Linked DNA regions of Nothobranchius furzeri. The protein of the gene in region 2 interacts with the protein of the main gene of each other region in a pairwise test. Links are inferred from orthologs where the notes say so. Each region holds a gene or a part of one and is shown on either strand. Other genes may lie near its edges. The genes, in order: cnot4a and cnot1.

What was found.
Region 1: the proteins of cnot1 (region 2) and cnot4a interact in a two-hybrid assay, tested with the Homo sapiens proteins (3 studies listed by BioGRID and IntAct, with this or other methods). The link is inferred for Nothobranchius furzeri from reciprocal best matches to the Homo sapiens genes CNOT1 and CNOT4.

The regions. Positions count from the first base shown.
Region 1 is NC_091744.1:59,528,883-59,532,708, forward strand, and holds part of cnot4a (CCR4-NOT transcription complex subunit 4), read right to left. Parts: intron 3,764-3,826; coding exon 3,530-3,763; intron 1,324-3,529; coding exon 995-1,323; 3' UTR 1-994. UniProt on the Homo sapiens protein: Has E3 ubiquitin ligase activity, promoting ubiquitination and degradation of target proteins. Involved in activation of the JAK/STAT pathway. Catalyzes ubiquitination of methylated RBM15.
Region 2 is NC_091744.1:81,566,878-81,570,803, reverse strand, and holds the start of cnot1 (CCR4-NOT transcription complex subunit 1), read right to left. Parts: upstream 3,112-3,926; 5' UTR 2,975-3,111; intron 1,717-2,974; 5' UTR 1,519-1,716; coding exon 1,417-1,518; intron 1-1,416.

The DNA.
Region 1 (3,826 bases), about 22 Mb from region 2:
TGGTGGCTGTCCATGTTAGGGCTAGTATGGTAGGTACCACACAGTGGCACTGTTAGAGTCTAACCCTAGTGCTCAGGATGTGTGCCATGAGTTCCCACAGCCCCGGCTCCCTGTGGTAAGGCGCTGCTCTACCCTCTGATACAGAGGTTCAGCTAAATTCTCCCTCCAGCCGGATGGGGCCCATGGGGGCCCCTCACTAAAGAGAGCATGAGCCAAGTGGCCTCTGATGCAGGCCATTTGTGTCCCTACCTAACAGGGAGCCCATGCATAGCCTGTGCTCTCAGATTCGGTGGCATCTTCGTTCTCCCTCCAGTCCAATCGGATATATTTTCAGATTATATTGATTTCAGTAAAAGGCTAAGTGCTGACCTCTCTTATCGCTGTCTAACCTTGCTTTAATCACAACATGGCTGTAAGATTTAACCGTTTGTCTTCTCTGAAGGGGGGGTGGGTGGGGGGTACAATGAGAGTCTTTGGGGCAAAGCTTCAAAGAGCAGATTCACAGCTTGCTTTTATTCCTCAAAGACTGATCGCGACTCTCCAACAACACAAAATGTTTTCATGCTTAATCATTAGTTACATTTGTTAAAATTACCTCACTTCTGCTAATTTATTTCATTGCCAGCTTGTGGGGTCAGCTGGAGTCACCGCTGGGCCTCTTTAATGCTATGCTGATTCTTGTGCTCTGGTGACATTAAGCTACACGTTGAATCTCCCGTTTGCTCCCAGTACTAGGTCTAAGGAGTCGTGATGGCAGCAGACAGAAAGTACTGGGAACCAGTGTGCCGCAAACAAAAACCAAACAGGGCTTTAGGGGAGACGCATGGGAGGAGGAAGAGGGGAAAAAAGAAGAAGAAAGCAAATTAGTTATTTAGTTAATTTTTCCCATACTCTGCAGATTGGTGTGTTTTTGCATGGGGGAAAGGAAGCGGGACAACAGGATGAGTGGGTAGAAAGTTGGGAAACAGGTTAATGGATCTGCTCCAGTCTGTGTTCAGTGGCGATCCACGGCGGCGCTCTGTAGTAGCTCTGTGGCGGGCTGTCCTGGGGGTCTGAAGGCGGTCTGGAAGCCTGGTGGAGGGGAGTGGAACTGACTGGCAGGGTTGGCTGTGGGAGGGGGCAGGTAGGGAGCCCAGCCACTGGGGGCTCTGTGGTGGAGAGGGAGGTGGCCATCGAGGAGGCCGCTGTGGAGGGGCTGGGGTGTGGGCACGGCTGAGCTGGCAGGGCCGTCCATCTCTGTAAGAGCCTGCAGCGATTTGAGCCAGTGTGGCGGGTTGTCGTCGTGGAGACAGTCTAAACTGTTGCCTGCCGAGGCCGGGATGCCTGGGGGGGGGAGAGATGGATCATCAGATACAAGCAGTGGCAACGATGCAAAGAAGTTTTCAGTGACTGATACTTTAGAGACTCGGGTCTTTACAGAAGCAGCTGGCTGTAGGTGAGTCCTGGTGGGGTGTGCTTACTTATGACATTATTATTATTATTATTAGCAGTATTATTGTCTGGATGTAAAAAACATGGTCTAAAGCCAGTTTAGGGTGACAGAATTAAATCTTTATGAGTTTTCACAAAAAAGTATGCAACAATATCAGAGATGATGCTGATATGAAGAATATTTCACTGTGAGAAAATAAAGTTTCATCCTGTAACCTCCTGAGACTCTGCGGCCACATGTGAGAACATTGGATTCATGCACTCGTTTTATTCTCTTCAACTTAGACCTATTATTTTAATTTTTTACTTGATATTTAAGTTTTAAAAAGACATTCTTATTTTATTAAACAAGATTTTTTATCCAAGTGATATTTTGTTCACGTCTGAGTCGACTAATCTGCAATAGCTAGAATTTTATTTTTTTAAATCACACCAAAACAAATTAGGGTCTCAAGAGATTAAAGACCAAGTTCACTCGTTGTTTCAACACATTTGCAGTGGTCTCTAGTATAAATGAACGCCTTGTGAGTCAATCTTTGTGGAAAAAAAGCTCTGGTGCTCCTGTTTCAGGAACTAGAAGTGAGCCAGAGCAGAGGTGAGCACAACATTGAAGAATTTGGAGTTTTGTTTCCTGATACTTTGACATCTCGCCTCTGATTGGCTAACAGCAACAAAACTGACTGTTTGCGCTGCAATGTTGATGTTTTACTTACACAAATAACACAAGAAGTTCTGCCATGTGGTGGAGTTGCTAATGCTAATAGTTAGCTTCTACTAGCGAAGATTAGGGATGGGTACCGAATTCGGTACTTTTTAAGGTACCGACCGAATTCCATAGTACCGGCCGAGCACCGATTCACGTCATTTCAAACGGTACCTCGTTTTGGTACCCGTCCATCATAACGAGAACTTGCCAAGACAGCTGCGCATGCGCAAGAGCGTTATGTCGTCGCTCGCTACGAGCGTGTTGTAAACATGGGTAGAAAGAACGCACGCTAAATCTTGGGTCCACTTCACTAAATGTGATGGGTAACTGGGTGATGATGAAACCAGCGACAACGATCTAAGTGAGACATCCTCATCTTAATCTGCTCCGGTAGGTAAATATAATTAGCTTGATATGTTAGCTTCCATTCTGCTAATGGTGCGTTTGCTTTCTCCTCGGAACTCCGAAATTCCGACTAGAAGAACATGAACGCGCTCAAAAGTTTGGCTTCACTTTACTAAATGCGACGGGTGATTGGGTGAAGATGAAACCAGCGACAACGATTTAAGTGTGAGGCATCATCGTTTTAATCCCTCCAGCAGATAAATAAACTGTTTAAGATAACGTTAGCTTGATATGTTAGCTTCCATTGCCACCGTTGTTATCAGCTAATGGTGCGTTCGCTTTCTCCTCGGAAATTCTAACTTCCCAGTAGGAAAAATCAAATGAAAAAAGACGGCAAAAGGAATGAAGATACACAGTAAATTTAGTTCACAGTAAAGATGTTTGCTTCAGTTTAATTATCAACTTATAAAACTACAAGGACGATGTTAAAATACAAACAGTTGAATGTTATTTATCGTGATATTTATCAAATATGGTTATATATTGAGAAAAATATATATCTAATTATAAAAGAGAATTAAAATAATAAACACTCAAAAGTTTCGAATATTGGTACCATTAAGTACCGGTATCGATTCCTAGGTACCGGGAATTAGTACCGAATCGATTCAAATGTCAAAGGTACCCATCCCTAGCCAAGATGTTCTTTGCCTTTTTCTGGGCACTAAACCAACAACAGCCTTCCCCGTCGTAAGCCAAGATGGTAGAGTCCATGAACGTTAAGTGACAGAGTGACGTTTCCTAGAGTTTCACCGCTTATTTTCTATTCAGCAGATTTTGCATGAAATAGGTGTGGAAGGCTTTTCACATTTCACTCAAAGTGACCATCGCATTCTGAAAATGAATTTAAAAAAATGTTTCTAGGTGAACTTGGTCTGTAAATCAGGCTACTTTTGTGTCCTTTTGCTGCTGAAGGACAAAATACCCTGCCAGGCTAATGACCACCTTTAGGAGCTAATATGATTGAGATGAAAAGAGCTAAACTACCTGTGATGATAGCAGGATCCATCCAGCTGGCTGTGCCATCCCAGCTGAGGCTGTGCGACATTCCTGTTGGCCCTACTGACCCGCCAGTGTGGTTAACACTGTTGGAGGATGAGGAAGATGAAGAGGAGGAGGAGTTTGGGAGGCCACCAAAGTTGATATTGATGTTGGGCAGAAGAGCCCTCAGTCCGTCTTGCCACTCTTTCACATTTAATCCGTCTATAGAGCCGCTGTTTTCTGCAGGAGAAAACAGAAAAAATGTGTTTAGATCACAGAGAACTGATTTAGCCCAGAGCTGAT
Region 2 (3,926 bases):
CTCCAGCGGTGCTGCAGGGAGACTACAGTATGAACACATCGCTCAGAGAGATGAATTATTATTATTTATCAACTTGAGGAACATATTTCTATGAAAATTCTAAGAAATATCGACAATAGTTAGATAAGGGTTACCAGAAATGTTTCTAGGTTGTTTGCCAGGTAATTTTTGAATTAAAAATTTAAGAAGGGGCTCTGAAAAGCTGTAAGAAATAGAGAAAAAGTCACTAAGTAGCAACATTGTGGTAGCAGAGCTTGATTTGCAAGTCGGAGCAGCGCAAGAGGAAGAGCAAATTTTATTTTAACAATCGTTCAAAACTCATATCGTACTTGCGATTAAAATTCTATTAATTGAGCGGCACTACAAATCAGTAAATGCATTTTGTCCTCATGGGCTCCCATAGAAGTTAACATGGCGTTGCTCGGAGACTTATGGTGCATTCCAGTTGTCCTCGGAACTCGTTTTTCCAAGATAAGTTAGCCAGAAATGACGCAATGAACTCAGAATGCCGATATGCGAGCACTTAGGTTTCAGAGGACAACGAGATTGAAATCTCCACGTCTCATCAATGGGAGTTATGGGTTTCTATTCCATGACAGGCTATTCATACATAAAAATTCAGCATTTTGACTTGCATTTTTATTGCTTTGTAGTGTCATTTGTCTAATCCTGATGGCCCATTTCACTAAACCAGGGTTTTATCACTTATCTAACACGACCCCTTTTTTAGTCCAGTGACTCTAAAGTCTGTTCTTTTAGATCCTCTGAGTTTGTTCAAATGCTGTTCAACTATAGCCGTTTTATCAAAACAATGCAGTCAATTTGCCGCAGCGCTGTGGCAGCATCAGGTAGCCTAAGGTCTTTTATAAGCGGTCAGACCGTGGCGGTAAAGTGGCACAATCATGTCCTTTTATAAAAGATTAGGCGACGGCGGCATAAAGGGGGTATGGGGCAGTCCCTGCGCTACAGTGGACTTCTGTTTATCTTGGGCATAACTTGCTCAAAGCTGCAATCATTAAGTTTATTTAAAATCTGCTGCTAAAGGAATCTGTCACAGTCCCTGTGCAGTGTCTGATCTGATTTCCAGCTCTAATGGAGAAAAGCTCGGGGAAGAGCTGTCTGGAGGTCTACGCGGGACAGGAGACCTCAATATATGATTGAGAATTTCATCTTGTATTTAGAAAATGTGAACATCGTAGAACTGATACCAGCAAAATCTCAGTTTACCGTCATCAAAGAGCTCCATTAAGATAAAATTTCACAAGGATGCTCTTTTTCATCAACCAAATATAACCTACAGAGGTAATTAGCCTAGGGCTAAAACAAAAACAAACAGCCATTTTAACTTTAAGTGAAACAAGTTTTTTCCTGCAACAACAAAAATAAATTAATAAATTTTATGTTGCTCCTACTTACATGTTGTATTTCTTGCTGGCTGGCTCGGTAGTTTTTCTTTGTTAAATTGTCCACCAGATAGCTGATTTGAGACAAAGCCAGCGAGAGCGAGTCAAGATTCATTGCTGGTTGGGGCGGAAGCAGGCGGCCGAGCACGGCGCAAAATCACCATTATTCCCCTTTAGTCACTTCAGTGATAGGTTACTTTTGCTCCCCCCCCCCCCAAAGGTGTGACAAGTGTTGGCCTTCCAAACGTGTGTTCAGTTCAGTGGTACCCAGTGCTAGTAGACAAGTCCTTCAGTTTAAAATCAAGTTCAGCATCTGCAAAAAATAAAAAAAATAAGATAATATATTAAAACGTGTGAAACACATGAAAGTGAAAAACTTTTGGCCAATAATTGATATTAACTCGCATTACTGGGACAGTCTGTGAGGCCGGGTAGAAAAACCCAAAAAGACAAATCTAATTTACTGCCCTCAAAATGTTAATTCGTTGGATTTTCCTTAATGCAATGTGAAGTTATCGAGGTGGAACAACTTTGAACACGGCCTAACTGTACACCAATATCGGTCGGACTGTTAAAGCCTGATTAGCTCAGAACAACAAACTGTGACAACAATGGCTTCTAATAACAGAACTGACTAATGTTAAAGTATTTAACAAACAAGACAGCACAAGTCATCGGTTCTTATGTTAAACTATCGCAAATATCAAAGAGTTTAGGTGTAATCTTAAAAGGCCAAATATGTTGATTATATGTGACTACGTTTTGACATTTGAAAAATCATTCACGTTCCAGAGAGATTAATTCAAAGGCCAATAAGATGATTTTAGCCGTTTTACAACAGCATGACTCTGAGAAACGCTACTAACAGCACCTTTTATCGACAATTCGGTAACTAGACATTCAAAACTAATGCCTTGTAAAAACATGCGATTACTTTACTTTATACTTTCATCTCACGGACCATTACAACATGACTGCAGTCACTTGTATTTCTTTAATTCAAGGCTACAAGCTAATGCTAATCAATTAGCAGCGCGAGCCTGTTTCGAATGGGTGAACACGAGACAGGAAACCCAATCAAGAAAATCTTTACACATGTCAAGATGCAATTGACTATGCAAACGAGTACTGTTGATTCGTTTAGGCAATTTCTGTTGTGAGCGTAAACGCTACGAAGTGTTTTTTTTTTCATACGTCCTGAGTCGCGAGCTTTAGCGTCAACCTCGTTAGCTTGTTTCAGTGGGCTCCGACTACTCTGTGGACTTGCTAACATAGTTACAAACGCTGATTGACTCGAAACAAATATTTAACCTTAATCTTAACATATTTAGTACTACATTCAGCTTCTATTTAGACATCTCATCTCTGTAAAATGGCCTGCATCGCATAGTAAAGGTTGGTAAATGGAGAAATACTACTTTTTGGATTAACAATATCACAGCTGTTTCTCAGCAATTAGACAACCCCTCCCGTCCCTTAGCGCTAGTGGCTAACGAATACTCCGCGTTTGTGTCGCTGGCTATTCTATACTTGTCGGTGGTCATTTGATTAAAACACACTTCTAATCTCACCATGCCAACAACAAAGTATTTCAGATCCTCATTCCTTCTAGTATCCCGCAACAAACTTGATGAAATGGAAGAGTTGCTGGGCCTCCACTTCAGTTTGGTTTTCAAAATAAAATGGCGTCTGTCACCGCCACGGCGCGTTCACGCGTCCAGAACTCGAGCTATCCGCGCGACTCGTAACGTGCGCTCGCACGCACTGCACGCAGAGTGCTTGTCACAGCTCCAAACGAATTTTATTCCAGATAGGAGATCAAATGCGATGCTTTTGGTTTATTTAGGGAAAAACGGTTGTCCCTGATCTTCCTAGGGTCTTTTGTCTTTAGCTACACATGCATCTCAAAAAATAAAATAAAATAAAAGAAAAGCAAATGGACCAAGAAATACAAATCTAGTCATGTATTGGATAACTTAACAGAACAGCATACAATAGTTTTTTAAATTTGTCTCTAAGCAGGTTACATTACTTTTGCAACTGAAGCAACATTAAACCCAAAGATACAAGTGAAAACGTGTTTTTATTAAAGCCTATATTAGCACTGCTCTATTTGGTGCATTAATTAGGAAAATTACATAATCATAAATATTTCTCAATAACAACAAATCAACAAACTTTCTGTAAAGTAACCCTCATAACTCCAAATGGTGTAAACATTTAACCCTCCCACTGTCCTAATGGGTGTGACCTCATGAGGAAAGTTGACCATTGAGCTGGGTTGATGGTTTATCCCTTGGGTCCATGTGGCAGGGTTGGGGAGTGAGCACCACCTCACCCCTGCCACGTGGACCTCAAGGGATATACCATCAATCCTGCTCAATTGTCAACTTTCCTCACAGGGTCACCCATAAAGATAGTGGGAGGGTCAAATCAGATTATGACAGCTTTTTAGGATTGTTAAAAGAAAGTATTACTTGGCATATATTTGCATCATTTTATTCTATTGTATACATTTTAGAA